Linked DNA regions of Oreochromis niloticus. The protein of the gene in region 2 purifies or fractionates together with the protein of the main gene of each other region. This does not show direct contact. Links are inferred from orthologs where the notes say so. Each region holds a gene or a part of one and is shown on either strand. Other genes may lie near its edges. The genes, in order: rpp40, pop4, pop1 and rpp38.

Evidence for each region.
Region 1: the proteins of pop4 (region 2) and rpp40 purify together in Homo sapiens (affinity purification with mass spectrometry; 3 studies listed by BioGRID and IntAct, counting the BioPlex papers as one, with this or other methods). This does not show direct contact. The link is inferred for Oreochromis niloticus from reciprocal best matches to the Homo sapiens genes POP4 and RPP40.
Region 3: the proteins of pop4 (region 2) and pop1 purify together in Homo sapiens (affinity purification with mass spectrometry; 5 studies listed by BioGRID and IntAct, counting the BioPlex papers as one, with this or other methods). This does not show direct contact. The link is inferred for Oreochromis niloticus from reciprocal best matches to the Homo sapiens genes POP4 and POP1.
Region 4: the proteins of pop4 (region 2) and rpp38 purify together in Homo sapiens (affinity purification with mass spectrometry; 4 studies listed by BioGRID and IntAct, counting the BioPlex papers as one, with this or other methods). This does not show direct contact. The link is inferred for Oreochromis niloticus from reciprocal best matches to the Homo sapiens genes POP4 and RPP38.

The regions. Positions count from the first base shown.
Region 1 is NC_031982.2:34,664,971-34,672,695, forward strand, and holds the start of rpp40 (ribonuclease P protein subunit p40), read right to left. Parts: upstream 3,007-7,725; 5' UTR 2,867-3,006; coding exon 2,747-2,866; intron 1-2,746. Other genes in the region: riok1 (serine/threonine-protein kinase RIO1), read left to right, coding at 3,236-3,288, 3,891-4,062, 6,345-6,447, 6,759-6,828, 6,913-6,955, 7,122-7,214, 7,291-7,403, 7,516-7,596. UniProt on the Homo sapiens protein: Component of ribonuclease P, a ribonucleoprotein complex that generates mature tRNA molecules by cleaving their 5'-ends. Also a component of the MRP ribonuclease complex, which cleaves pre-rRNA sequences.
Region 2 is NC_031965.2:39,311,499-39,318,960, reverse strand, and holds the start of pop4 (ribonuclease P protein subunit p29), read right to left. Parts: upstream 3,052-7,462; 5' UTR 2,913-3,051; coding exon 2,906-2,912; intron 2,877-2,905; exon of another isoform or gene 1,934-2,876; intron 1,928-1,933; coding exon 1,872-1,927; intron 1,591-1,871; coding exon 1,367-1,590; intron 1,291-1,366; coding exon 1,213-1,290; intron 1,134-1,212; coding exon 1,072-1,133; intron 403-1,071; coding exon 301-402; intron 1-300. UniProt on the Homo sapiens protein: Component of ribonuclease P, a ribonucleoprotein complex that generates mature tRNA molecules by cleaving their 5'-ends.
Region 3 is NC_031976.2:6,409,807-6,417,395, forward strand, and holds the start of pop1 (ribonucleases P/MRP protein subunit POP1), read right to left. Parts: upstream 3,045-7,589; 5' UTR 2,909-3,044; intron 2,713-2,908; 5' UTR 2,710-2,712; coding exon 2,583-2,709; intron 2,206-2,582; coding exon of another isoform or gene 2,203-2,205; exon of another isoform or gene 1,982-2,202; intron 574-1,981; coding exon 424-573; intron 285-423; coding exon 109-284; intron 1-108. Other genes in the region: 2-iminobutanoate/2-iminopropanoate deaminase, read left to right, coding at 2,203-2,205, 3,325-3,401, 4,633-4,738, 5,155-5,209, 5,319-5,387, 7,330-7,385, 7,492-7,551. UniProt on the Homo sapiens protein: Component of ribonuclease P, a ribonucleoprotein complex that generates mature tRNA molecules by cleaving their 5'-ends. Also a component of the MRP ribonuclease complex, which cleaves pre-rRNA sequences.
Region 4 is NC_031976.2:20,280,620-20,287,899, forward strand, and holds rpp38 (ribonuclease P protein subunit p38), read right to left. Parts: upstream 3,050-7,280; 5' UTR 2,902-3,049; intron 2,345-2,901; exon of another isoform or gene 2,257-2,344; intron 2,180-2,256; 5' UTR 2,167-2,179; coding exon 1,360-2,166; 3' UTR 454-1,359; downstream 1-453. Other genes in the region: peroxisomal carnitine O-octanoyltransferase, read left to right, coding at 3,910-3,921, 4,691-4,808, 4,904-4,966. UniProt on the Homo sapiens protein: Component of ribonuclease P, a ribonucleoprotein complex that generates mature tRNA molecules by cleaving their 5'-ends. Also a component of the MRP ribonuclease complex, which cleaves pre-rRNA sequences.

The DNA.
Region 1 (7,725 bases), on a different chromosome or scaffold from region 2:
ATAATGGATTTCTATACATTTGACATCAGATGAAAACTTTGGTTGTATGACTCAGATAATTATTTGTTAAAAGCTAGAAATTTCAAATGAGAATAAGAAAGAAACGTATTTTTTGTGCCCCCCTTTCCCTGTTAATGCCCTACCTGGCCCCCTGGCAAAACTTTGCTAGACCCGCCCCTGCACAGTTACCAGCTGTCAGCTAGAAAAGGATCCTGGTGTTATTTGTCTCCCAGAAACAGTTCATAACTTCCCTTCAACCCTTCATCCCTCCAGCAAACATCAGCTGATACTAGAAATTAATATTAAATAAATTCTAACAACAGCTCATCAAGTTTAAAGGTGCTTCTGTTGTTTAACGCGACCTCCGCTGGTTTGCTCTTTCTGACGCAGAGAGAAAAGCCGATCAGCTGATCATTGATCATTGATCAGCTGATCGGGACAAATCGCGTTGCTTTTCACCTCAACTTTAAAGTTCGACCTCCTCGGCTGTAATTGGTCCAGCCCAGAGTCGATCATGACCAACTGGCCAATACACCACTATTCATTTATACCGTTGAAAAAATAAAAGAAATAAAACCCCATCGGCCCATAAAAACGAAAAATCACGAGCGGCCCACCGGGAAAATGCCCGGTATGTATGGGCTCAAAATGTGGTCATAAATATTTTGTACTTGTAAATCAGTTTTGTATGTGTAAAAAGAATTTGTGCGTGCGTAAAAAAGATTTGTATGTGCAAAAAAGATTTGTTTGTGTGTAAAAAAGATTTGTATGTGTAAAAAGAATTTGTGCGTGCGTAAAAAAGATTTGTATGTGTAAAAAAGATTTGTGTGTGGACTTAGCCAAAAACCCCCCTGCAAGTTACAAGTACGAATTTTGACCCTATTTTTCTTCCTGTCATCTGATTGGTCAATGTCATGTCAATCACAAATGTAACAATCCAATCAGAGAACAGATGGGTTTGGCTGTCGGAGGGGCACTTTTTTGAACTGCAGGTCCTTGAAGGGTAATACAGTTTGAAGCTGGAGGATCTCTATATAAATATCCGATAGCAGCTAGGTCCCCTAACTTTCAGCAGCTGTTGAAAGGATAAAGTTGTGGTATGTCAGTGGTTAGAAATACCATTATTACTTTAGGATTAGTTTAACACAAAGTCAGGGCTGACCCGGGACCATTGCTGTGAGTCACAGTGCGCAGCATAAAGGTCCTTTCACATCGGACGCAGGATGTGCTGCTAATGCTAACTGCTAACTAAAAGCAAAGGATCCAGAATTTGTTGCGCTGGCTGCTGAGCTCTGTGGGTTTTTGCAGCAGCTCTACCTGTACTAGATGCACCTGCTCCTTGTCGTTTCTGTCTCTGACTTTATGTCCTCTACAAGAGTTTGGTTTTTTTGCTAGTTCTTCAAATGTTCAATAAAAACATGTATGCTAATTCATAACGAAGAAAGCTTTGTAATGAAGACTGTCATTTCCAAAACACTGCCCCCCCGGTCCGCAGCGCTGTTGAAAAGGCTGTGGAAGTCCCTGTATAAAGCACGTAGACCTGTGACACAAAAATCACCAAACTCGGATGACCACAGACTGTTTTCCTTTGTGGTGATGAAGGAAAACGCTGGGTTGGCATGTAAAAGGGCATTTATTCCCTTCAAGGACCTGCAGTTCAAAAAAGTGCCCCTCCGACAGCCAAACCCATCTGTTCTCTGATTGGATTGTTACATTTGTGATTGACATGACATTGACCAATCAGATGACAGGAAGAAAAATAGGGTCAAAATTCGTACTTGTAACTTGCAGGGGGGTTTTTGGCTAAGTCCACACACAAATTCTTTTTACACACACAAATCTTTTTTACACATACAAATCTTTTTTTACACACGCACAAATCTTTTTTACGCACGCACAAATTCTTTTTACACATACAAAACTGATTTACAAGTACAAAATATTTATGACCACATTTTGAGCCCATAGGTATGCCCGATGGCCAGTCCAGCTATGGATGTGAGCAGGACAGACGGAACAATTGACGGACAAAGTGTGGACTTTATACCAGTTTTTAAATTGTGTTGATCGGCCACGTAAAACCAGAGTTATGATAAAAATATCTGCAATGTTTGGTTTTCTTCCTGAATACTATCGTTGTTTATATTTACTGCCGGAAGAAACGGTAAAAACGGCGTTTTATAAGGAAAACGCTCGAAAGCACTCTCAGCCTGTGAGCAAAAACAAAACCAAAAAACCCCCCACCCTTTCCTATTAGTCGAAAAAAGTACCGTGTCGACCAATCAAAAAAATGATATGGCAACGTGGCATCTAGTTGTTAAGAAACGGGGGGAAGTTTTAGGAGTGACGGCGGTGTTCTGAGATGTGAAAGATTTGAGAGGTTTGACCTCTCAGAGCAGCTCCCACGGGTGCTGGGTGGGGTTGAGGTCAGGACTGCAGATCCATACTCTCCACTCCCAAATCCTGAAGTTAGTCTCTGGTAAAGCCGCTCTGTGGGGGCGACTGCTGACTCACCTCTGAACACGCAATCCTTCCACCTCAATGCTCTGAACGGTCATCCACAGAACCACTCGCACACTGAGCCCTGCTGCTCCACCCGCATACTCAGCACTGCTCCACTCGTGACTGCTCTCCTTGCACTCGATCAAACACGACTTTAAATTTACATGAAGCCGTCCGTGAGCCCGACGCTGTGAAGCTAACGGCTCGGAGGTGAAAGGTCAGAGGTGAAGGGTGAGAGCGTCACCTGGTGGTTGAAGTGCAACTGCTGCACCTGCGCGCTGATCCGGTTCTTCGGGTCCAAGAAGCTGGAGCTCTCCGACACCAACAGAGTCCGCGGAGTCCGGTCCAGCTCCGAGGACGTCATCTTCTTCGGCTGCGAGCTAACTACACGTGTTTCCGGCCGCGGCTTTTCAGTTTAAAAGCTCCCGGTAGCGAACCGGAAGTGTTCGTTGTTTTTATTTTGGAGGATATTCCGGCTGTTGGGTGAATGGGGCGTTTGTGTGTGTGTGTGTGTGTGTGTGTGTGTGTGTGTGTGAGAGAGAGAGAGAGAGAGAGAGAGAGAGAGAGAGACGGATCGGTGGATGTGATGTGACGTCATCCTCCGACCCGCGCCGCTCTCCGTAGTCACGTGGTCGAACCCGGAAGTGGAGCAAACACGAGGAGCGGCGCAGCACAATCGGTCTCGAAGGTTCAGCGCTTACCTGTGTTTACCTGTGTGAGAGGCTTTGACGTCATGGCGGAGCCGGCGTGTGTACCTGGGCAGTTTGATGACGCGGAGGAGGACAGGTGAGTTCGTTCGTTTGTTTTGATGCTGCGGTGTAAACAGTGAGGCTGTACCTGGCTAAATCACCATGGTAACAGGTCACCTAAGGCCTGCACTCCATAGCAGGATTCAGTCTTGTCCAGGTAACCTCAGGTGTAACCTGGGTTTCTGTGCTGTGAAGCAGCAGCTGATGCTTTCATGTGTGAGCTTTTCTGTCATGTTTACTGACGTCACCTTACACACACACACACACACACTCTCAGTGTAAGTCTCCATGGCCGTGCTGTCGGTGTTTCAGTCCCATACACAAACCAGCCTCTCGCCATCAGGGCTTCTTGTTTCAGGTCAGGTAAAATTCAGCTCATCATATTTACTACATAAATACAATCAGCAGGCTTCAGGCCACAAGAACAGAACCACGACTTTAACCCACAGAGGAGCTCTGATAGCTCCACAGAGGGGACCAGTTCACAGCTCAGGCCTCTGCCCTCCTGACCATCGGGGCACCAGGGCTGCCTCCTCCCTTATCATTACATCTTGTTTGCTGTATGAGTAACTTTCACAGAGATTTCAGCAGCTCTGACTGTGTTTTTGTTGTTTGTTCTTTTGTTTTTTTGTTCTGCAGTGTCAGGTCAGTGGAGCTGACTCGCATCAGTGATGCACTGCCTTCATCAGAGCAGCAGGATTTCAGTGAGGAGGAGGATGTGGATGATGAGGATGAGTGGGCCTGGAGCTCAGCAGCAGATCTGGCCAAAAGATACAACCAGGCAGCGGGTGGCTTGCAGGTGAGACAGGAAGTGAGTAGAGGTCAAAGAACCAACAGAGTCTTCCAGGTCTAAAAGATGGAAGGATGGATGATGTATGTGTTGAACACCTGATTATGCAACAGAGGAGCTAACAGAGGGACTAACAGAGGAGCTTACAGAGGGACTAACAGAGGAGCTTACAGAGGGACTAACAGAGGAGCTAACAGAGGGACTAACAGAGGAGCTTACAGAGGGACTAACAGAGGAGCTAACAGAGGGACTAACAGAGGAGCTAACAGAGGGACTAACAGAGGAGCTAACCGAGGGGCTAACAGAGGAGGTAACAGAGGAGCCAACAGAGGGGCTAACAGAGGAGATAACAGAGGGACTAACAGAGGAGCTTACAGAGGGACTAACAGAGGAGCTTACAGAGGGACTAACAGAGGAGTTTACAGAGGGACTAACAGAGGAGCTAACCGAGGGGCTAACAGAGGAGGTAACAGAGGAGCCAACAGAGGGGCTAACAGAGGAGATAACAGAGGGACTAACAGAGGAGCTAACAGAGGGACTAACAGAGGAGCTAACAGAGGGACTAACAGAGGAGCTAACCGAGGGGCTAACAGAGGAGGTAACAGAGGAGCCAACAGAGGGCTAACAGAGGAGATAACAGAGGGACTAACAGAGGAGCTTACAGAGGGACTAACAGAGGAGCTTACAGAGGGACTAACAGAGGAGCTTACAGAGGGACTAACAGAGGAGCTAACCGAGGGGCTAACAGAGGAGGTAACAGAGGAGCCAACAGAGGGGCTAACAGAGGAGATAACAGAGGGACTAACAGAGGAGCTAACAGAGGGACTAACAGAGGAGCTTACAGAGGGACTAACAGAGGAGCTTACAGAGGGACTAACAGAGGAGCTTACAGAGGGACTAACAGAGGAGCTTACAGAGGGACTAACAGAGGAGCTTACAGAGGGACTAACAGAGGAGCTAACCGAGGGGCTAACAGAGGAGGTAACAGAGGAGCCAACAGGGGGGCTAACAGAGGAGATAACAGGGGGGCTAACAGAGGAGGTAACAGAGGGACTAACAGGGGGGCTAACAGAGGAGATAACAGGGGGGCTAACAGAGGAGCTAACAGAGGAGATAACAGGGGGGCTAACAGAGGAGATAACAGGGGGGCTAACAGAGGAGCTAACAGAGGAGATAACAGAGGAGGTAACACAGAGACTAACAGAGGAGGTAACAGAAGGGCTAACGGAGGAGATGAGTAGTTCTTTGGAGGACTATTTCTGTGGAAAGCTAACTGAACCTTGTGCTACATTAACATAATTATAAAATGATAGATAGATGGGAATACAAACTTTAGTCTATCTTTGTTTATTCTAATTGTTCTCAGCTTGAATCAGAATAAAAAGCATAGAAATAAAAACAAGTCTCTATTTCCTGTTGCCTCCATTGTAGAAGGTGACTTTGTCTCCAAACAGGAACGTGTACAGTCAGAGGTTAACGTGGATTCAGCAGGTGGAGGAACCTTTAAATCAGCTGTAATGTCTGAGTGTGGGGAAAAGACTCAGTCATTTCCACTGAGAGCTCCAGTAGAGTTTCTTAGTGTGCAGGCTGTGATCAGCTGACCTGCTGCTCTCTGTGGATGTACACACCTGGATTCATCCAGATGTGAGCAGATGTAAAACTCATATTCTTGAGTCATATTTCTTTCCATTTTAATTCATTACTTAAACATTCAATTAATTATTTAATGGGCTATTTAATTGTTTTTGGTACTCCTGGCCCTCCATACACTTGCTGTAAGCTAACTGTGAGCATGAACCCACAGCCACTGTGCAGCAGTCACAGACTCTACTGTAAACCAATCACAGTGCAGCAAACTCACCTGTTCATCCTGCAGAGGATTCTCATGCAGCCTTTAAATAACACAGTCAGTCTGCCTCAGTTTGATTAGCAGCAGGTTTATGAACAAACACAATGTGACAGATTTAAAACCATGAGGACTTCCATGTGAGCTTTAAATGAGCGTCCTTCCTTTAACTCTAAGCTGTCTTCTTCCTCTCCTGTCCTTCCTTCTTATCTGTCTCCATCTCTGAGTGAACTTAGCTCTCTGTCTTTCTCTCTGTCAAATACAGCAGCTGAACCTTTAGCTGCAACACACTGAGACAAACTGCACAGTTTGTGTTTGCTGATGTTTGTTGAGCTGATAAGTGTCAGCTAATAGAAATGAGCTGACAGCATTGCTCCTCTTCTGTAGTGCTAGCTTGATGCCGAAGAGTGTGTGTGTGAGAGAGAGACGTTATAAACTGAGTCATTTTTGTGCACAGAGTCTCCGTCTGCAGTCCAACAGACAGAATCCGTCCAAGAAGCTGCCATCATCAACACCATCTGACAAAGCTTTGAGGAAATATGAACACAAGATCAACCTGGGTACCCCACACACACACACACACACACACACACACACAGCTTTTTAGTTTCGTGAAGCTCTTAAACGACATCGATGTGACGTTTCATCCGCCTTTCAGAACGACCTGTCTGCTTACAGCTGATTGCCAGTATTGATCATATTGATCATATTGATTGATCACCTGCACCCAACGGCCTGCTATAAGCCGCTGTGGAGGTCTGGAGCCATTGAAGCATCCTCCAGTCTGCGTCTCTGGTCCAACGTTGGTGTAGGCTTTTTAGTTATGATCAGGAATCGATTGCAGTGATTGATCGTCTTTGTTTTCTGGCAGACAAACTGAACTACGCAGACTCGGTGATTAATAAAGTGACGACGATGCAGAAACAGAGGGAAGCCGACACGTGAGTCTGAGAGCAGCTGATGATGCTGACATCAGCCGGGGTGTTCCTGCTGTGACTCACATCCTGATTGGCTTCTCTCCACAGGTACAGAGTGAAGGACAAATCAGATCGAGCCACAGTAGAACAGGTGAGTTCCTGTAGCGGCTCTGGCCTACAATCTAGAGCACCTTAAGGCGACTGTTGTTGTGATGTGACGCTTCCACTTTTACTGAGTTCTTTAGGAAAGAACTGCCAGGAGGTTAAAGATAATAAGGTGAAGATCAATAAGCAGCTGATGCTTTCTTCTTCTTCAGGTGTTAGACCCTCGAACTCGAATGATTCTCTTTAAGATGCTGAGTCGAGGAATTATCTCCGAGATCAACGGCTGCATCAGCACCGGGAAGGAGGTCAGACCATTCAGTAATCGCTCGATCAATACGCTGAATGGTTACACATGCGCTGATCAATACTCGTCCCTCTCAGGCAAACGTTTATCACGCCAGCACAGCAGCTGGGGACAGCAGAGCCATCAAGATCTACAAGACGTCCATCCTGCTGTTCAAAGACCGCGACAAGTACGTCAGCGGGGAGTTCAGGTGAGTCCGGCACCACAGAAGAACAGCGCTCAGGTACACCGCGAGCACTTCCTGTTGGCTCCAGGTACAGCAGGAGGCTCCTTCAGGAACAGTTTGTCCTGTTGTTCTGCAGGTTCCGTCATGGGTACTGTAAAGGAAACCCCCGGAAGATGGTGAGAACATGGGCAGAGAAGGAGATGAGGAACCTCATCAGGTCAGAACCTTTGTAACCACACCCAGAACCAAACAGAACTGGTTCTGACTGGTAGAACCCAGTAAAGCCTGTGTTGAGCGTTAGAGTCCATTAGAGATGTTCTTACTGATAACATGGACCCGCTCTGAT
Region 2 (7,462 bases):
AAGGAGGAAACCACGTTTAAATCTGATGAAGCAGATTCATTACGGCACACGCAATTCACTTCCTGTCTTCAGCCATAACACATCTTCTTCCAGGCCACATTTATCTGTTTATGCTAATTAGAGACCATTTAACCAAATATTTATTTCATATCAAAGAAATATTTAATATCCATAATATTTATAGATGACACGCAGCTTAAATCTCCCTCTGTGAGCTTCCACAGCAGCTGGCTGTGTGTTACTGACTCACATTCATACAAACCGGAGCCCAACACACGGAGAGACTCACACGCTCCTAACCTTTCAGTTTGTCGTCTCTGGTGATGATCTTGAAGACGTGTTTGAACTCTTGCACCAGAATCCCAGACGTCCCCACATAAGACGGACACTTGGACCGCACCACTGCAGCGGGGACAAGAACAGACTGTCATGTTGCACGAGCCTGCACGCGTGTTAGCAGGTTTCAGTCTCTGCAGCAGCAGGAAAACCAGGGGCTGGGGTGGAGGTGGGCTGCAAAGAGGCTTGCAATAAGCAGCTCAAACATGCTGCTGCAGCGAGTAATTACTAAATCAATTTGAACTTGATGATTTCATGCTAAGCATCAAAACTGACTCGTTCTTTACTCTCCAAACAGCCCGACTGAAAAGAAGGAAACCAGGAGCTTCAGGTACCACAGCGTGCTCACAGAACTGCTGTTCATGCCGTTCATGCAGATGAACATTGAGAACAACAATGTTCCTGAGAAGACCCGTGTCCTCAGGAAAGCAGTGAGTTTAAAGACCACTTTCAGAGGAGGGCAGCACTAAAACCTGCAGCTGCTCTTACGTCCTCTCGAGGCTCCAAAGGTCAGCACCTCTGGGAGTCATGGCGCTTGGAGAGGAGCAGACTTACTGACATGAACGAGGCCAAAAGTCGTCTTAACCACAAACTTCATTTCAGACCAAAACCAGAAGGAAAAAGACAAAGCTGACTGGGAATGGCACAGGACGCCTGGAACACTGACTTTTTACATTCCTGAGTTTTCTGCTACAAATGGAGGAAGAAGAAGAAGAAGAAGAAGAAGAAGAAGACCTGTGAGGATGGCTCCGTGGAAATCCGCCTTCAGGAGCTTCTGCTGCACGACCTGTGGATTGCTGTGAAAACATCCGGATGACGACTTAGTGAGAGGCAGACAAACATCTGGACAAGCAGCTGTTGAGGGCGGCGATTTACCTCGTTGCTTTCAATCCCCCGCACAGGTCGATGATGTACTGTCTCCAGAGTTCATGCAGAGGAAGGAAAAGCTCGTATCTGCAGTGAGGAAGACAAAGACAGTGATGCAGGAGGAGGAGCAGGTGGAGGAACAGGTGGAGGGTTTCTCACCAACCTCTGGTGTTCAGGATTGATCTGGAAGACCTTCAGCTCCCTCTTCTGCCGCGCGTTCAGCCCTCGGGCCTTGGCGCTCTTCCTCCGCTCCTTCTTGGGCCGGCCGTAGCCGAGGATCACGGCTTTGTGGCTCAGCATGTTCTGCAGGTCATGGCGTCTGGGCTGCTGAATGCTGTTCTTCAGGAACGCCTCGGTGAAGGCCTTCGCTTTGAAGCTGCTCTGAGGCTGAAAACAATATTTGAAGAAGTGAATTCAGGTGATTATTAAAGAGTCATGAGCCAAACAGCGTGTTGGGCAGAGCCAGCAGAGTGAAGTCATCGCTCAGCACAAAACAGGAAGGACTTTTGCAGTTTGCTGACTTTTATGTAAAGGATGGTTACTGGCTGTCCCATTAAATCCTGAGGGCGGAGCTACAAAGCTGCAAAATCTCCTCGCTCTCTTCAGACGGCACAAAGTGCGGATGAAACACTTTCACATCAGTGGAAAACACCCGAGCGTCGGCTTACCTCAACACCAAGAACGTCCACCAGCTCACGAGGAATAGCGGCTCGAACCAGACCTTCTGTGGAGAGGACACAGACACGTCACTGAGGCGCTGAAGCACACAGAGGGGCGGGAACGACAGAGGACACGCCTCAAGGGCGGGGGGACACACACGTCCAAAGGGGGGGACGCATATAAAAATGTTTGACTAAAATAAAAAGATGAAGCTTCAGCGTCAGTTTGGCAGAACTTGCCCGCTGAGATGTGATGGATGCCCCCCCCTCACCTCACCTCACCTCACCGCACCGCTGCTCAAGCGTCTAACCCGCCCACTTTCTCACGATGCCGTGGGATTTTATTTTTATTGTGTTCTCAGTTTGGACAGGTGACCTGTGACCTGAATGAATCCACAGGTGGAGACATTCAGGAAACGTTCCTTTACCTTTTAAACACGCACTTTCCTGTGAAGGTGGAGCTCAGCTGTTCTCTAATGACCTTCCCTGCAGTTACCTAAAACAGGTTTAGTCCAATTTCGCTGTGACAGTCTAAGTTTAGCCTGTGATGTAATCACACCTGTCACACCTGGAGGCTGACGAGTGGATGATGGATGACACCAGGGAGGAACACACAGACCCTCCTCAGCTCCACACACAGGTGGAGGAGACCCTCCTGACCTCCACCTACCCCGCTGATCACAGCTGGAGTCTGGGTGGAGCAGTTTTAGCTTCATTAGAGAAAAACAAGAGTTTTGTTTTGATCCCGTAAATGTGAGGAGAGGGGGCGGGGCTTCTGTTGTCAGCACAGCTGCATTAAGGAGGAAATTGTGGATGTTGTTACAGATCTACACGTGCTACACAAAGGTGATGACGTCACATTAATAATCGACTACATGCGAGCCTCTCCTCAGGTAACACACCTGTGTGAGGGTACAGGGCCAAACACGCCCCCCCCCCGGAGACGCAACCGACCGGACAGAATCGAAGCTCGGACCGGAGGAAAGCCCCTCCTCCCACCGAGTCCGTGTTCAGGTGTGTGCTCACGCGCTCAGCTCACTCACCCTCCATGCTCGCAGACCTGAGCAGAACTCCTCTGACGATCCACGGAGAAACTCCACGACACGCGTGCTTTCAGCACTGCCCGGGTCACTTCCGCGTCGCTCTTCTTCGTCACGTTTTTAGAGGATGAAGCGGCCGCTGGCGCGCGCACAGCGTCCCCTGCAGCTCAACAGGAAAAGTTCTCCGACATTTTCTCCGGTTATCGCAGTTTTATTTATTTTATCTATTAAACTTTCATCAGTCGCTTTTTTATTGGACCAGAAACTTAAATATTTCCTGTTTTTTATCATCTCACTCGTTATTGTGAAAATATGACGTCACTGTCACAGTCTCTGTTTTACCTCTGCATCAGCTGCTTTTCCTGTTTCTTATACTTATTACTGTTTTTTTAAAGCTACGTTCGTCCTTCTCGTTGACTGATCTCCGTTTTTCTGCTGTGACAGTCTTAATCTTTGCTGTGACACTTCCACAGAAACCTGCAGCAGATCTTTGTGGAGCTGGCAGCTGTTGAGTTTGGAGCAGATGTTTGGGAGCTTCCGGGAGAGCCAGCAGGCTCAAACACTGATTTATTGCACTAAAACACTTGAAGGTGATTGCAGTCACACTGCAGTGAGTATGAACAGTTTCCCTTTGTGTTAGAAAAGTGTTTGCAGACAGTTTCATCTACAACAGCTCAAAGCGAGGGCTGTGCTGCCTCCGTACCCTCCCGTGGGTACTTGTTGTCCTTCTTTTTTACAGACACCCGTCTGAGGGACACTTCTGGTTTGCCTCCTGCTGTGAGACCTGAGGCCGGCTCGCTTCCGCACATTTGTTCTTCAGTCTCTGTGCGGACTGAAGCCCTCATCGTTCATACGCAAACAGATTTAATAAAGACAAAACTGTGCAGCAGAGGCTCTTTGTCCCAGTTTACTCTCACAGAGAGGGTGGAGGGGATGTTTAGAGTTGGGAAAGCTGCAGGTAGATCCTGACTGTGTTCAGATGCTTCCACCAGAAACTGATGCAGAAAAGACACAGAGCATCATTAGATCATTACAATAATAATTATTATTACTGAATAAGTAATCGCCATCGGCCCCTCTGGACAATGGCGTGATATGGCAGCCTCGCTTCTGTCAGTCTGTGGCTACAACTGTAGCTGCCTCCACCAGTGTGTGAATGTGAGAGTGAATGAATAGTGTAATTGTAAAGCGCTTTGAGGGTCTCGAAAAGCGCTATATAAATGCAATCCATTATTATTCTTATTCTTATTATTCTTATTATTATAAGTGTCATAAGATTCAGAAGACATAAAAATATTGAGCTGGACTTCATTAGGAGAGAGTGCACACTACAGCGAGCTGATGGAGTGAACGGAGACACGAGAGACGTCTTTGAGTTTCAGAAAAATATTTATTTTAAATCTGATTTTGGGACATTCATACAAAAAGTGAGTTTTTCCCTTTTTACCCTTGGAGGTAGCAGCCCTGCACCACTAAACTCTCAGAACACGCTCGTCTAAAGCCTCAGCACGCCCTGAACGCCACATACAGCAGAAAGCATGAACAGGCATGTCCGTGTGTTCCTCGGCGTGCTGCGTGTGTCCTACTGACCATCAGCAGGAAGTCTGACATCAGGTTTCATGGAAAGCTCTGCTACGCTCGGCCTCGGGCCAGAAACACAGCAGAGATCAGATCTGGTGTCATTCCAAGAAAAAAACGTTTTTTATTTCCTGACAGACGAAACAAAGTCTCCAACAGGTCACTGCTTTCAGGCGTTTCCTGGTTTCTGGACAGTTTGTCCTTCACATGAGGGGAAACCGAATGAAGTCGAATGAAGCGGAAACCTCTAAAGAACGACGCTGCAGCTGCAGCTCGGGCATCAGAAACCATCAGTGATGTCCTTCCTGTGCACACGGCAGCGTTTCTATGTTAAACGTCTCGATGAACCCGAGCGGCAGACGCCCAGCGGCGACTCAGCTCCAGCCGATCTGCAACATTTTCCTCTGATGTGTTTGTCGCTGCTGATGACCAGGTCAGAGCAGGAAGTGAGGAAAGCTTCAGCAGCTCAGGCTGCGAGTGTCCACAGACGACACATGCATCTATAAGAAAGTCAGGAAACACGGACCTGCGGGACGAGCCGGTCCCTGCAGCTCGTGTCTCTATCTGCAGATTAAGAGGATTTTAAATAAACGTGTTCCCCGCAGCCTGCAGTGCTGTTTATCCAGTTTGACAGATGTAAGAAAAAACCCGAGCACTGATGTTTCTGTCCACACGTGGGGACATGGCTTCCTGTCATCGTGGACAGGTTCACGCTTCCTCAGCAACGTGGGTGTTGGCACTATTTCTCCGCTTCCACTGAGCGAGTTCCATCACACTGAAGACAAGGCTGGAGTCACAGCAGAGATCAGCCCAGAAGTCATTACCGTCTGCTCGGCGTCTCGCAGTGATGGAGACATGTCTCCGTCTTATGTTTGGCTCAGAAAGAGTAAAAAGACGTGTTTTTGTGAAACCGCAGTGATCTGTGATGGATTTACTTTAACATCTCATCATCCTTACATGTGAAAGGTGTCAGCCTCTGGCTCCGCCCTGAACTCAATGAATGAACAGCGCTGCAGAGCAAATGTGCGTTTTTTAAACCTTTGTGTTTCCCTGACGTGACCTTTCTGACCTGAGCCTACGAGCGTCTGCGAGGATTTCACACCAAACAGTCTGAGGTAAATCTCAGAGTGAATGTGTGCCGGTCAGGCTGGTGTGTGCTGCGTAACGCGACTCTGTGAGATGGTTTCAGTCTGCAGTGAACGGAGACCCGTCTCCTGGAGGCTACAGCGCCGGTTTGATGAGACGGTGTTCTTGGATTTGATTGGCTGTTTGTCTGCAGAGCAAATCTGATGTACAGGACTCGCGCTGCCGTTGGATTTGTGGTTTCAGCTCTGCTCAGCGGCGCTCTGGTCGGCCAATTAAAAGCTGCAGCTGCTCACACTTCAGTTTGTTTTGGCAGCTTTTAAATGCGGCCGCAGCTTTTTCTGATTTCACAGTTTGATTTAAATGAACCCAGGTGTTTCTCAGAACAGGACTGGACTCCACTGCCCGGGTTTTACTTGGAAATACTCAGAAGTGTGATTCCCGCTGGACTCAGCAGACATTATGCATTTAATATTTTACAGGAACTTAAAAATGAACTAGCAGAAGAGCCTCGCCCTGCCCGCGCTGCGGCATGCGCCGCCGTCACCACTGCAGCTGTAAGTGTGGATGCTGGTGCAGCTGGCACACCAACTCCTCCTCTGTGGGCTCCTGGACCTGCTCCCTGCAGAGACACGGGACCCACGGGCAGGCAGTGAGCGTGGACTCAGGTTTGTCAAGTATAGCACTGAGATTCAATAAATAATAAATTCCCACCTGAATATGAGCTGAACCGAGGTTTCATATCTGATCCTCTCCACATCGATCACAGAGCAGCTGTGACTGCGGTCCCACTTGTAGATGAAGTTCTGTTAGGACAGAAAGACACACGTCAGACCCTCAAAGCAAAAAACTGGAAAAACCCAAACAAATGTTTACAAGACACAACAAAGCGGCCTGTGCACGGTGCACGGTGCACGGCGTGGGTGCAGATTACAGGGGGACACCTGCCCTCAGACATTTAGAAAGAATCAATCTGATCGTCACCAGGAGGAGAAGCTCGTTTAAAACAAACTACGACACCTCCTGCAGGCGTGTTTCTCCCGAACTCCGAAACAGGAATATTAACATTCCTGCTGCCGTGTAATCTGAGCAACCTGAAAAAGCGAGGATGTCCGACATTTCTGAGAAGGTTTTGCTTTCTTACAGAAGTGTCACAGTCGGGAACGCCGCAGGTTCCTGCTCATATACTTCAATGTCGTTATTATCAGGATGTCCTAAAAACTCTTTCTGATTAAGAAGAACGCCGAGTCGCCCCTGAGACTTTCAGCTGCCCCTCTCTCACTTCCTGCCGCCGGTTCAGGTTGCGTCCTTTTGTCTCCAGCTCGCCTCTTTCTGATGAAGATGAAGTTCAAACCTTGTCCTGCATCGATCGAGCGAGTCTCTCACCTCTAAGATGAGCGCCACGAACAAGTTGACCCACATGACCGACGAGATGAGCCACCAACACACGAAGTAGATCTTGGACCACCTGGGAAGCAAATCATCATCATCATCATCATCATCATCATCATCCTCGCAGTAACCACCATAATCAAGCCGCTGAGCTTAAACCGTGCGGTTTCTTACTCTGTGGTGTATCTGCTGTAGGCGTCGATGAAGGCCTGCCAGTTGTTGACGATCATGACGTCGTAGAGTAAAATGATGGCAGCCTGAGCAGAGAGACGGAGGACAGACGCTTCAGCACGTTTCTCAGTAATCGCCATTTTATCCCAGAGCCTCTAACTGAGCCGTGAGCAGGCTTACTGAAATAAAACTTTTTTTACACAGAAAAAGTCAAAGACGGTTCAGAGGAAGCTAGAAATGCAGTAAAATCAGAAAAAGTCCCAGAATCCTCAGAGATCCTCGATCAGATAAAAAATCCTCTAACCGAGGATCTGACGGTGCAGGTACACGAGGACA
Region 3 (7,589 bases), on a different chromosome or scaffold from region 2:
AGTGGACATGTCCCAGGTACTCAGAGTGGGGGACTTTGTATATAAAACAAGGGTACGGAGGTGTTTGTGAGACAAAGTGCTAAAAATAAAATACGTCCAGAAATTTACCATTCTGTTGGCCACCTCTCTCAGTCTGTGAGGAAGCCGCTTGGTGTTGTGGCTCATGGCTCGTCTCCTCATGTGTTTGGGCAGAGCTTCAAACACATGGCTGCTGCTTGTGGTCTTTCTGACAGCTTTCAACATGGCGCTCACCTCTGCAGCCCTGGCCCTTGCAAAAGCTCCAGCTGAGTGAGGAAGGTAAAGATGGAAATGGAAGTCATTCACTGGACTGTAACTGTTCATGAATACCTTTACAATTCATTTCTTTCATGACTGTCTATGCTCTGAATTAAACTTAATATGTTAAAAATGTTGAGATTTTACCAGTGATGTATTTGGGCATCTCCTTGGTGTAGCCACCACCATCTTTATGATGTCCACGGACCCATCCGCTCTGGTGGGGAGTTTTCTTCTTCCTTTCTGTAGAGGGGTGCACCTCCGAAAGACCACCTTTGAGAGGATCAGCATTTTCTCCTGTCAAAAGTGAGAGTGAGTCATGTGTGGTCTGCCTCTACAAATGTGAGTAAACTCGCCCAACTTAATAAGGCATATAACATCTTTGTCCGCTTGTTTATTCCTTTTTCACATGAATCTCATCATAGAAACAACCTTAATGAGAAGGGATTCCTCCCTTGGAAAAAATATGTTCCCTATATTCACTGTATGAACAGCACATGACAGAGGAAGATGAGGAACTAGAAAGAAAAAAATTTGGAGGGTTTAAAAAAAAAAAAAAAAAAAAATCATAAGAACCAAGTGACAGACAGTCTAGAGGAAAGACTCACAAAACTTTGAGATACACCTACCAGAAGTGCAACAAAACAAAGCAACAATTATCGTTTTCTCTAAGGTCTCTTACACATGAAATAAATTCTTGCATAAAATTATTAATGTCAGTTGGAAAAAGCTAAGTTCAACAGGTGCTGCTAGACCTGAACTCAGGTTATTTCACAATAAATGCTCCGATTTGTCCCAAATTAAGTGTGACCATGGACAGGGGGGTCCTCTAGATGCCTGGAATGCCCTCTAGATGTTCTTTGAACAGAGGCGGTGCCTTACGACACCAACTGTCTGCCATCTATAATCCAGTTTTGAGATCCCTTCCCAGACACCTTAATGCCCACTCACATCCTTGGCCATCTGACCTCAGTAAGTCACATGACAGGGTGGGGCTAGGTTTCACAGTGGGTTCACCCGAACCTTGGCTGATTCTGACCCACACCCGTTTTCACACCTTGGCTCATGTGATTACGTAAAGGATTAATAGGGGGTCCATGACCCTCTTGGGGGACACTCCCATAGGGCTTAAAATCTGGGACTCTCCACCATTTGACCCTAGAACTGAAAAAGCTTCTCGGATGAAACATCTTCAAGAAACTTAAAGAAGTCCAGACGCTTTTCTTTCCAGGCTCCTTAGACTACGATGATCTGGATGACTGAGAGCCTTTGCTCAGGACTTTGTTGAAACACCTTTGGCTGCAATTACAGCCTCAAGTCTTTTTGGGTATGAGCTCTGCACACCTATTTTTGGGCAGTTTCTCTTATTCTTTTTTGCAGACCCCCAAGCTCCATCAGGCTGGATGGGGATCATCAGTTATGTTTGTTATCTTGGATGTGTGCTTAGGGTTGTTGTGCCGTTGGAAGATGAACCTTCAACCCAGTCTGAGGCTCAGAGCGCTCTGGAGCAGGTTAGCATAAAGGATGTCTCTGTACGCTGCTGCACATGTACAAACATCCCTCAGCATGATGCTGCCAACACCATGCTCCACTGTCGGGATGGTACTGGCCAGGTGATGAGTGGTGAATTTACCACAGGTGGGCTCCAATCAGCTATGAAAACAGTCGATCAGTTAAAACAGGATCCACTTGCGCTTGAATCTGTGCGTCATGGCAAAGGCCGTGAATACTCATCTACAAGTTATACCTTTGTCTTTAGTAAATTTGCAAGAATTTCAGGCAAGCTTCTTCACTTTGTCATTATCAGATCTTTCATGTAGAATTTAGTCCATTTTGGAATAAGGTACAACTAACATGTTTTTGTGAGTCTTCCATGACAACACGTGGAACAAGTGACACACTGTGAATACTTTCTGGACGCACTGCATGGCAAGTAGCAGAAATATGAGATATGACATATATCCATATACTTAAATAGGAAGAATGTTCGGTTGTGTTTGATATTTAATGTATAGCTATATCAGATACAGTCATGTATGACCTTATCTTTCAAGTATGTATGATACAGTCCAAGGAGAGCAAATCTGTTCAGTTCACCTTGGCTTTATTCTGCTTATGTGGTTTATATTATCTGCCGGTTTAACCATTTTGGCAGTAACTTTTTATACAAGAATCCATTTCATGCGTGGAAGACTGGAAGAAAAACATATGTGCGCTTTGTTCTGCATTACTGTAGGGGACTCGCTGGTCCTTCTTCCAGTTTAATATGTAATAGGTACGTGAAATAACCAGAGAAGGCTGAGTACCGGTGCCAGGGGCGTCTGCTCCATTCTGTGTGCTGCTCTCCACGTTAGATGAAGAAGATGGATACTGCACACTGGCGGGCTGATTTCTCATCTTCTTCTCCCGCATTTTGACTTTAGCCGCAGACATTTTCTGTAAGATACAATAACACGCTTGAGACCTCGCTATGCGAGCAGCTTATAACCCAAACAGTTGAATGCTGAGCTAAAACGCCAGCTTGCTAGCAACGTTACCTGGCGTAAAGTTGGGGAGTTGTTTTAACTAACAAAACCAAAGCTAAAACATTTCTATACCAAACGTCCAGAGGAATTACACTTCATAAGGTTACCTCAAGGTTCCCCAGCGTGATGTGTGTCAGAAACGCTGTTCCAGCCGCAGGGACCCTCTAGTTTTACGTTTAGCTACCATGTGAGGTTTCCTCATGCTGGTGCTGGTCTTGTTTGCTTCCGGATATGACGTGTTCAGGGGGCTTTGTAGAGTATTAGCGCGTCAACAAAAAAAATCCAATAAAAACCAAGGTACGTTTTCTTAAGATTATATGATATGTTGTCACTATTGTCTCTTGCTTGAGTTGTAAAATGTCTGAGGTGACCAGTTTTGGAACTAAAATGTGTAAAGGGAAACGTGTTTGCGCATGTAATATGTCTTTTACGGTAAAGTAGCTCTGACGTCCTTCTGACATCAGCGCGTTTTCTGCTTGCAGCCTTCTGTTGTACAACTTACTTTTTTCACTTGGGCCGATAGATTTCCAGTGAAATGGCTGCACTAATCAGGAGGATTATCAGCACAGCTAAAGCTCCTGCTGCTATCGGTCCGTACAGGTGAGAAGAGCTTTGAATCATTGCCCTAAGGTTAAAGTTACAGCTGGCACACACCTGCCGCAGCACCAACCTACATTACATTTGCACTGTTAATAGCACTGACTGCCAATTCACTGATGACAGACCACGACTTTTTTGCTTAATCGGGTAATACAGCGATACTGAGTTCACTGTTTCGTCCATAAGATTACTGCTGGGAGAGGTGGGATAGCATATGCCCTCAGAGCTTTTGGGAGCAAAGTTCAGACTTTTGGATGTTGCACTTTAAACTCTACACACACCACTAAAATGTTAAACAATGAAGATAAACAGCAAACTGTGCCCGCGGTTTTTCAATACTTTAGTCTGCAATTAATTTAATTTAATTCAATTTTATTTATATGACGTCAAGTCACGACACCAGTCGCCTCGAGTTTTTTTTTATATTGTTTGGTAAAGAGCCTAAAATAATACAGTGAAGACCCCAACAATCAGACGACCCTCCTGATCCAGCTCTAACTGAAGTTTAAGCCTAATCCTAAAAGCACAGAGGGTTTCTGTCACTCACATCTGCATAGAGAGCTGGTTCCACAGAAGAAGGGCCTGGAAGCTGAAACCTCTGCTTCCCATTCTGCTTTGAAATATCGTAGGAAACAGTTATACCAGTAGTGCTTTACTGGGGTGATATGGTACTTTGATACTATGATCAACTGAAGGCTTTTTAGGTAGTTTTTAGGACATCCTGATAATAATGAGTTACAATAGTCCCGCCTAGAAGAAATAAATGCATGAATTAGTTTTTCAGCATCACTCTGAGACAAGATGTTTCTAATTTTAGAGTTCTTGTACAAATGCAGGTAAGCAGTCCCACATATATGTTTAATAGGGGCACAGAAAAATGACTTCAAGACTCCTCACAGGTATAAAGAGAGTGTTCCCCTTATCGAGAAAAGAAACTGTGTATTTATTATTAAAAGACAGAAAGGGACATAAATGCAATTTTGTGAATCTCTTATTTAAAAGAAATATTTGAAAAAAAAACAATAACCCTCAGTTAAAAACCTACACATGGAGAGATAAGTGACGGAATAGTCAAGCAAACATACAACTTTTTTAACCTCACTTCCTTCATTATTAGTAAATCTTTATTTAGCAAAGATCACCAGAAAGGACAATAAGATTTAACACTCTGAACGAAATAAACCCAGAGTAGCTAAGCCTTTGTCCGTGCGTGTTTGTGTGTGTTTTCCAGCCAAGCAGTGGTGGTGGATCGAACCATGTATATTTCAGGACAGCTGGGAATGGACCCTGCCAGTGGACAGCTGGTGGAAGGTGGTGTTCAGGCTCAAACCAGACAGGTGACACTGGAATCCCCATCATCACTGATTCATTCCTTCATTCATTCATAAACATGGAGTACAGCGACACTTGAAAGCGATCCAGACATCAGTAGATGTTCCTAATTCCTAACTGCTGAGATAATTGCAATGGAGTTGAGCTCACAACCAAACAATTAAGAGACTGCTACAGTGTGAATACATGCAGTCCATTATTTAAAAGAAAATCTAGTGACAATGCTTTTAAAAATAGTGCCTTTTGAAAAAACCCACCAGTTTTCCTGCAGGGGGCCAATTCCTTAATTCTCTGTAATGCTGCAGAATAAATTTAAGACTGGTCAAATGCATCCTTCCTGCAGGATGAATGAGGATATGAAAGTCATCACAAAGTGAGAATTACTTTTGCACAATCATGTACATGACTTCTGTTTCTTCAGGCTCTGGTGAATATGGGTGAAATACTCAGGGCTGCTGGGTGTGGTTACACCAATGGTGAGAGAGCCTTGCCTTTCTTTGCATGTGCACAGAAGAATTCTTTCAACTTTTCAACCACAGACCTGATCATGCACTATTTTCTTTCTTTTCTTGTTATTTCCTGAAGTTGTCAAAACCACAGTGCTCTTAGCCGATATGAACGACTTCACCAGTGTCAATGACGTGTACAAACAATGTGAGTATCAATGATTTAGTTATTAATGTGTATCAGTATGTGTTTGGAGTTATCTGCTGCTGTTGGCCTTCATTTTGCAATACAACGTTAGCCACCAGGTGTCAGCACAGTCCAGACGACATACAGCGCTGCTGCATAACAAGCAGATTTTATAGACTCTTTATTTTTCCAGTAATGTATTCACCCAGAAGGCCTTTACAATAAATCAACCGGTGCTTGAATTTGCCTCTTCATATTCTAAATATGCTGTGGAAACTCCAGAGCAAGTTGAATTATGAAATAAATATTCAGAAACACAGGGGCAGAGTCCAAACACTCACAGGGAACGCTGACATTTGCTGAGTCACTTAGCAGAGTGAAACCTGAGCTTTCCCCACCAACAGATCTTAATCTTAATCTAAATGTCAGACGACAGACTGCCACATCTGACATTCCATAGATTAAATAAAAAACTTTAAGTCTATTCACAAAGCCCCCATATCCATTTCATTGTTTAAGTAGTATGGTAGAAAAGATAACTACACATTTTTCTAATGCCAGTTAATTCAGGTATTGCTCCTACAATTAACTGATCCAAGCACCCAGGTTGATGCACTCTGCGTTGAGTCCATTATCAGTGATTACATCAGTACAGTCAAAATCAGATTATTCTTTCAGTCCACCTCTGTCTTTAAAGGCCCCTCACAGGTGTTTTCACTTTATTCTGGCTGATTAGGCTTTTGCTATGGTTGAAGTTGGGTGCAGCTATGCTGCGGTTACATGAACCGACAAGAACAACAAAGGCATAAATTCTGCTGCCTGAGCCGAGGCCTGTACTACAAAACAGGAACTCATCATATCCAGGTAGCTTTGGGGTTAACCCCGAGTTTTCTGTACTACAAGTGTGGTTCACTTCTTACCAGGGTACATCGCCATGGTAACTTGTGCTTCCATATTAGAGGTCAACAGGTATGAAATCACCACCTACTGACCAGTCAAGTCTCCAGAAAATAGCGTCACCATTACTTGAAGATCCCTCAAACCTCTGTGCACCGAGAATAGGAGTGTCTAAAGTCTTTAATAGCATCAGTAATAAATACAGATATTTTTTTTAATTTAACCTTTTGGCTACAAACATGTTACAATTTTGTTCTTTAAGCATTAATATATAAATTGTACAGATGGAGTTTGTATTTAGTCTTTATTTTTTACTTTTTATTGTTAATTTCTTACTTTTGTGTGAATGCGCTCATACCTCAATCAGGAAACCATTGGTTAACTCAGTGAGTGGATAACCACCTTTGTGATCACAAGTGTTAGGTTCAGTGAATCCAGATAATAGAGAGATAACCAGAGATAACTTTGTAGCGCAGTGCCCAGCACAATCAAGTGCAGTCTGTAGTGACTCATTAATGTGTATTAATTATTGCTGCGGCTTTTCATTGTAATACATTTCCCATTGTGCATCTAATAATGTGGTGTTTTGTACTGATGAAATTTGTGTGAAACTGTATGATAATCATACACTGAATTTTATATATTTGATGTAAATTGTGTCTAATATGTGTGAACAGAGTTAAATTGCTGTGCAGATTAAAATTGTCACATTAAAAGATAAATGTTCTCTTGTTGATTCAGTGCAGGTCTATGTAAATCCAAAAGTGGAACTAATGAGACTAATAACTGCTTGTTCAAGCTGACTGATGATGAAGTAGAGCCCTAGTTTGTGTACTCGCACACCTGTGTTTCTCCTACTCTGACAGTCACTATAAAGAGCTTGCTTGTTTTATCAGTTGATATAAAGGCATGTCAGACAAGGGCAACACTATAAATGCCAGGTACCAGTAGTTAATTGGCTGCTTTGCAGTCCTGTAAGCTTCTGTAGATTCTATATGTGTGTCTGAGTCATTGAAAGTCTGTATGTGTAAATGTGTTGGTGGCCTAACTCAGCTGCTTTCTTTAGTCTTTAGCACCAACTTCCCAGCCAGGGCTGCCTATCAGGTCGCTGCTCTCCCTCGAGTGAGTACTTGACAAAGACCGTTTTTTTTATCCAGTTATTCTTTTGTGCTTTGAACCCAACTGAAAACCACAATTCTCACTGTGCTGATGCTGTCTCTTTCTCCAGGGTGGACTGGTTGAAATTGAAGCAATTGCTGTTTTGGGCCCTCTGACCGGCACTTCCTAACAAGTACATTAAACAAGCAAAAACTAGAAAGAGCTAAA
Region 4 (7,280 bases), on a different chromosome or scaffold from region 2:
GTAATTCAGGCAGCACGGTGGTTAGCACTGTTGCCTCACAGCAAAAAGGTCCTCAGTTCAATTCCACCATCAGGCTGGGATCTTTTCTGTGTTCCTTCCAGGTACTTTGGCTTCCTCACACAGGATAAGCAGAAGAGAATGGATAGATGGATACTCGGAATTCTTTATCAAGAACACAGGGTACTCTCTGCGTGCTCGGGTTTCTCCCACAGTCCAAAGACATGCAGTTAGTGGGGGTTAGGTTAACTGGGGATTCTAAATTGCTCATAGGTATAAATGACTGTCACTGTTTCAGCTCTGCGACATGCTGCTATACCCTGCCTCTCACCCTATGTCTGCTGGAATAAGGTTCAGCTCTCCTGCGACTCTAAAAACTTGAGAAGAGATCCATGTAGTTAGTCCATGTTAGTTATTGATAGTTTTATTTATTCATACTAACTTTATCAGAAATAAGTAATGGAGCTGATATTTTGTTTGGGATGTGTGGTGTTATGTCTGTGTCTGCAGAGGCAATGTCATTTCCTGCAAAGGATTAATAAAGGATCTTTCTATTGATCTTAATCTTTCCCTTCCAGCCATCGATCTTCTGCTTATCCGGGTCACGGGACCAGCAGTCTAAGCAGAGGAACTCAGACCTCCCTCTCCCAGGAGGGGATCAAGACATTCCCAATTCAACCAAGTGATGTAATCTCCCAGTACCTTTGTCCATCTATAGATATTTACAGCAAATTAAAATTGGAAAATGATCATTAAGTTGGTTCATTTGTGCCTACCTGAGGTCTAAAATTCTGCTTACATTTCAACATAAATAGACTACTACTTTCTACTTAGTACCTGAGCAATCCAGCACAACAGCTCCAAGATGTTGGTGGTCTAATGGCAGTCCTCTGTATTATATAGAGGAAATATATTTCATTCGAGGGTAAAATATTACAAGCTCCATTTAAAACAAACAGCACTATCAAAATACCGGGAAAAACTTAATTGCCTTTATAAAAAACAATGTGTGCAGACCGGCTTTAATTGTGGACAAAATGAAATTCAAACTTCAGTCAGATCATATTCAATTGTATGAATATGCATGAAACCATATGCAATGCTACTAATCTGCTGAAACAATGAATGCAAACCTGAAGGTCTGAGGCTTCCCCAGATAAAAATACTTGGCAGAAAAGTCTAAACCTTGTTCCCAAAAACCTTTTTTTCTCTTTAAGCTTCCAGAAATTCTTTATATAAACTAATCACATAAGTTATGTCCAGACTGAGGCTGCAAGCACTGTTCAAAAACCCAAAAATAAACAACACTGGAAACTCCTGAGCTAAACAAACAGTCCTTAAAGTTTCTCTTTCACTTTACAGCTATTTCTTCGGCTTCCCTTTCTTCTTCTTTGCAGGGTTAGCAACGATTCTCTTCACCTGGAGCGGCTGCAGAGTGCAGGAGGAGGGAGACTCTGACACCCCCTCATATTCACTTTCCAGTTTCCTTTTTTGTCCCCTTCTTTCACCACCTTCCTCCTCCTCCATGGCAACAGGTTCTTCAGGTTTAGCACCTTGCAGCCATGCCATGTCCAGTGAAGGCACTCTGGGCTTAATGGCATCGACAGTGTCGGTAAACACCCCATTGTCACTGGAGGAGCACCGTCTGAACCCCAGGGCGAGCACGCTTTTCAGCCCCAGCGGCTCCGACACGCTCTGGCTCAGGCGAGGCACCTGGCAGGCCGGCACTCCTCTGGTGGCGCTCAGAGCGATCAGGTGATTGGTCATGTGTTTCGGTTTGACAGACTTGCACACGAGCAGCAGTCTGAGTTCGTTTCTCTCCAGAGCCTTGGTCACCTCGTTGATGCCGATGGCCAGCTGCCGTCTGGCTGCCACATCTGTCCAGCCGTTTTTGGAGGAATCGCTCTCCTGGGGAACAGGTTCCGGTGCGACATCAGGTTTTTTGCCTTTCTTTTTCCTCCATATGCGAAACCCTTTCACTTCTTTTTTTTCCAGACCCATGGAGATCAACTTGTCCTTAAGAGTTTTCAGGATGAAGTGCATGTCCTCTTGGGGGAGCGGGCTCCATTTTGAGGCAAAGGGTGAGGTGAAGGAGGTCTTGGCTGGAGTCTGCTTTTTGATTTCCTTTTTAGTCGGCTTTCCGGGAGCTGCCATGACTGTTTGAAGCATAAAACAACCGACACTGTAAGAAAAGAGAGGAAAAACTGCTTTAGAGTCTGGCATACAATCACTGGACACTTTATTAAGTACACCGTTCACCTGACTGGTAGTGAAGGCAATCAGATGAGTTCACTGTACCTAACCTCCACAATCACCAGATCTCAATCAGATAGAGCACCTTTGTGATCTGGTGGAACAGGAGATTCACATCGTCAACACGTATCACATGTTGATCCCCCAAGAATCTTTCATGAAGAAAAAAAAAGCAGTTCTTAAGGCAAATGGGAGTCCAACCCAGCACAAGGAAGATGTACCTAATGAACTGGCCAGTAAATGTAAATCATTGCTGATGTTAAATTAAAGCACAGAAATGCCAAAGATGAGTTAAACAGCTTATTCACATATAAAAAACGCATACCAGAATCTTTTTTTATTTCCTTGTTTGTTTAAAAGGTAAAAAAGTAAAAGCAGAAAAGAGTAAACACGACTAAGAGGAATAAAGGACATTTTAAGATGAGTGGATAAAATAGAGAAAAACAAGATCACATTTGTTAAAAATTTGTATCCAAAAATCAGACTAAACAAACAAACAACGCCATTATAAACTAATACGATTAGCAACGTTTTTATTTCGCATTTCTTTAACCCACATGGAAATGTCGTTAAATTTCAGATCTTCTTCGGCTCTAATAAAAAACCTTTCGCTTCTGCAGAAGCATTAAAAACAAACACAGCCGCCGTTACCTGTGGTTAAAGCAGATAACGCATTTCTCCTCGTCTTCTTTACAGCTTCAGCCCAGCTGCATGAGAGACACACAGGGCGCTGCCATTTTGTTTCAATTTAAATAACTTTATTTAAAAAGCTCCACAGCGCCGAACAGCGGTGAAAGGGCGACATGACAGTCAAATCATCAAAGAGTCAGCGAAGGCAGTGAAAGTGGAGTTAAAGAGGCGGCGAACACTGTTATCTGACACTGTAGAGTCTGATGTAGGGAAAAGTGCATGAAGTCTCCTTCATGAATCAGCTGGAGTAAAAGTGCACGAGCACAGGAAATATAAAGGAGGCCTTTCTCAATCAATTAATCAATTAGTTTAAATACCCTCAAAGGTGATCAATAAACACCAAGCAATAATATGAATAAAAATGAAACATATAAAATCAAAGGTTTATTTATTCAAATACTTTATCGTTAAGGGAAATGTGTTTCGTATAAACTGAATGTGCACGAACCAAGTAAATTTCATTTGAGCAGACTCCATTAATGGTAACACTTCACACTGTACTTGTGTAACAAAAAATCAAATCTAATAATAATAATACAAAAATTTATATGTAATGAAATTAGTCAGCATTTTGGGCAGATTTTTAAAATAATATTATTGCACGGAGTTCTGTGTAGGAAGCATATTGTGGTAGAGGTTGTATTAATCCTGCTGAACTGATATGATTATATCTCCCTAAATTTATTACACTGTTGCAAATGACACGTCATAAAGTCTCAGTAGTCAGTGGACTAGGTGCCATAGTCCACTATATCTCCCCATTTTATTAAAGTCCGTGTGCGTGTGTGTGTCGCTGTGAGTGAGGGTGACAGGCAGCCAATCAGCACCTCTGCAGCTGTCTGCTCCCTCCCCTACAAGCCTCTGCTTTACTCTCAATAGTGCATCGATCAGCTGTGCTGCAATTACTGCTGCTTAAAACCCTTCAGGGCAGGACATTCATCTGCGCTCCCAGCCTTTACCTTTACCAAGATGACCCTCCAGGTAAAATCCTGCGTTTCTTTGCTCTTTTATTATTGTTATTATTATTTATTAGATGCTACATTGTCGCGATGAACCGAACAGCGCATGCCGTCTTCTGGCCGTATGCAGTCATCCATCTTTGACGGCGTGTGAAGGGTGGATGAAGGAAAGTCGTGCCTAAACGCGTTAATGCTCTCGGCTCAGTGGTCCTGATGCTGCTCTTAGAATTTAGAGATTTCCCGATGAAAATTCACTAGATTTAGAGTTTGTCTCTGTGAGAAATGAGAACATGTGGAGGTAAACTGGATCTATATACAAACATCCGCTTTTTGACCAATCGTCAGCATTCAGAGCTGGATCATTATATATTTCAGCGTCACCTCAGTAAAGAGTTAAAAGGTTTTTAGGTGTTTGTGCATATAAAAAATGGTTCCTGTGGTCTATAATTATCAGTTCTGCTGTGTCCCAGATCCTTTGAAAAGCAGATTATTTGAGTAGGCACACAGGCTCTGGTCTCATATAAAAGCCCATTGTTTATCTCCAGCTTGTGCAACAATCAGTTTCCCAGGACTGCCCCGTGCCTAGAATACCACACTCACATTTCTTATTCAGTGCTTGTAACTCATTAATATGCACACTCTCGTATTCGATGTAATTACTTTACATTCCTGCTGGACTTTATTGCAAAGAGAAGAAATCCTCCAGTCCAGTGTTTTCCCATCACAGACACACTGCTTATGTTTTCTGAAAATTTAATCGTAAACATAAAGAGTGTTCATGTCACCTGCAGGCAGAATTTGACAAGGCAGCAGATGATGTGAAGAAGGTGAAGGCCAAGCCCACAGACGAGGAGCTGCTGTTCCTGTATGCCCTTTATAAACAGGCGGTTGTTGGAGACATTAACACTGGTAGGACCCGCTACAGAGAAACTGAATCACTCCCATAAAGAGTTCACTAAGTTCAGATTTTTTCTCCTCCTCTCTGTGTGCTTTCACAACTGTAGAGAGACCGGGAATGCTGGACCTAAAAGGAAAGGCCAAGTGGGACGCCTGGGAGTCGAGGAAAGGTAACGAGTTAGGAAAGCTTGTGATTGTTAAATTTGTCCATGAGAACTAAACACTTTAACTGAAGGTGCTGGAAAAGTGATTTATTAGCAGGTTATAGATCATACAAGGATATATGAGACAGATATTTTTTCCCAAGTTCACAGCTGGAACAGTTTTTGGTATTTTTCTGTACTAAATAAGGTAAAAGAACTGGTTCTTTTACACTACGAGCCACACACACACATTTACACTTCACTGGATGCAAGGATGCATGCAGACTGGTGGGGCTCCACCTCCTGGTTGCCTGCAGAGTAGCCTATTTAGTACTCAAAACCTGCTGAGTCCACAGGTGTAAATCATGAGAATGAATTTCGTAAAACATGTTTGTGGAGCATGAGCTCAACTCCGAACATGGAGGAATCTGCTCCAAATTAGGTGTGTTCAGTGTCAAATAAGACTCACAGGAGGTAACTTTTAGGAAATTAGAAGTTAGTCATTGTCAAAATATCCAAATATTTTCACCACTTAGTTTCATCCAACATCACAGGAACTTTTTAATTTTACTCGCATATTCATTGATTTTTTTAAATTTATTTTTTAAAGTAAAATTACCCTCAAAAAATGTTGAGTTAAGGCATTTGCAGGTCAACTCCATGATTCAGCTGCACACGAGCTGTTTCTGCAAGTCTGTGTTTAGTGTTGAGTACTTGAGAAAAAGGTGACTACACGCAGATTTTGTTGTAATAGGTTCATTTTTAGTGACATCACACTTGTGCAAAGAGTCAAAGGGTGGTGTTGAGCACCACTCATTTCTTTGTATTTTGCTTCCAATGACTCAGACAATGTAAATGATCTTGAGCAATAGCTCTCCGGGCTTTCTGAAGGTCTTTCAAAGTTTGCCTTTGGACATTGTTTGCTCCTTTAGCTAATTTTCAGTCCAGTCCTTGTACCTGACTATTTTCAGAGGAACTGTTTTATTTGTTAAGCCATTTAACACTGAATCATTCAAGGAATAAATAGTAACCTAACTCGAGCTAATGAACGAGAGCTTCGTCTACACATAACAGACAACTGATCAAAGTACCATTTTTAATCGTTATCTTTAGGCCCTTTGTTACTAGCAGCCTGTTGCACAAACACATCATTTGTTCACATGTCTTTTGCTGAAGCTATGAAAAAGGCCAAAGATAACACAGTTTGACAGGAATAATTTCATATTTTTACACCAACAACGTCATTCCCCAAAAAACTAATCTGTGACCTAATCTGGCAACAATGATCCCAAAAACACTGCACAAATATACATACAGATTTTTAAAAATCCAGTGTTTTAAAGTTTTATATCTTTACTTAAATGGTAAATGACCTGTATTTGTATAGCGCTTTACTTAATCCCTAAGGACCCCAAAGCGCTTTACACTACATTCAGTCATTCACACACTGGTGATGGCAAGCTAAATTGTAGCTACAGCTGCCCTGGGGCGCACTGACAGAGGCGAGGCTGCTGGACACTGGCGCCACCGGGCCCTCTGACTACCACCAGTAGGCAGTGGGTGAAGTGTCTTGCCCAAGGACACAACGACCGAGACTGTACGAGCCGGGGCTCAAACCGGCAACCTTCCGATTACAAGACGAACTGCCAACTCTTGAGCTACTATCGCCCACGTTACCATAACAAAAACACAACCCAGATGCCAGCTTCCATGGTGGTGATTTATCGGAACCTGTTGAGCTCATTAAAGGAAGCGTTCTGTGCTGCCAGGGGAAATACTTTTTTTTTTTTTTTAGATTTATTACCAATAAAAAGACCTGATCTTTTCTAAGCATCTTCATCATGAGAATTTCTCCCATAGTTTAACCAGCTTTTCAGTGCTATGGGTGAAAGGCTCTCTAAGCATGTATACTAATAGGAGAAAACTCCTTTAAGACATTATTATTTAAGTCCAAATCACTCGTAATTTGAACTCTTTCAGGAATGTCCAAGGAGGACGCCATGTCGGCCTACATCGCAAAGGCTAAAGAAGTCATCAGCAAGTACGGGGTGTGAGACGTCCATGAACTGAAGAGGCAGCAGCGATGAAAACAGACTACTAATTCAAACTACTAAATCAAAGCTGCTCTTTACTTAAAAGAGCAGCTTTGCTTCCAGAGGCAATAATTCTGCACAATAATGTGATTTTTAAAAAAATGTCTTTCTATCCTGATTTTTTAAATTACATAGCTCAAATGATTTATGCATTTTAATGATATCTATGCAGTCTTTAACATATTAATCTTTCTATATGTACTGCATACTGGACTTAGATTTGTAGCTTGAATCAAAACAGGACAATT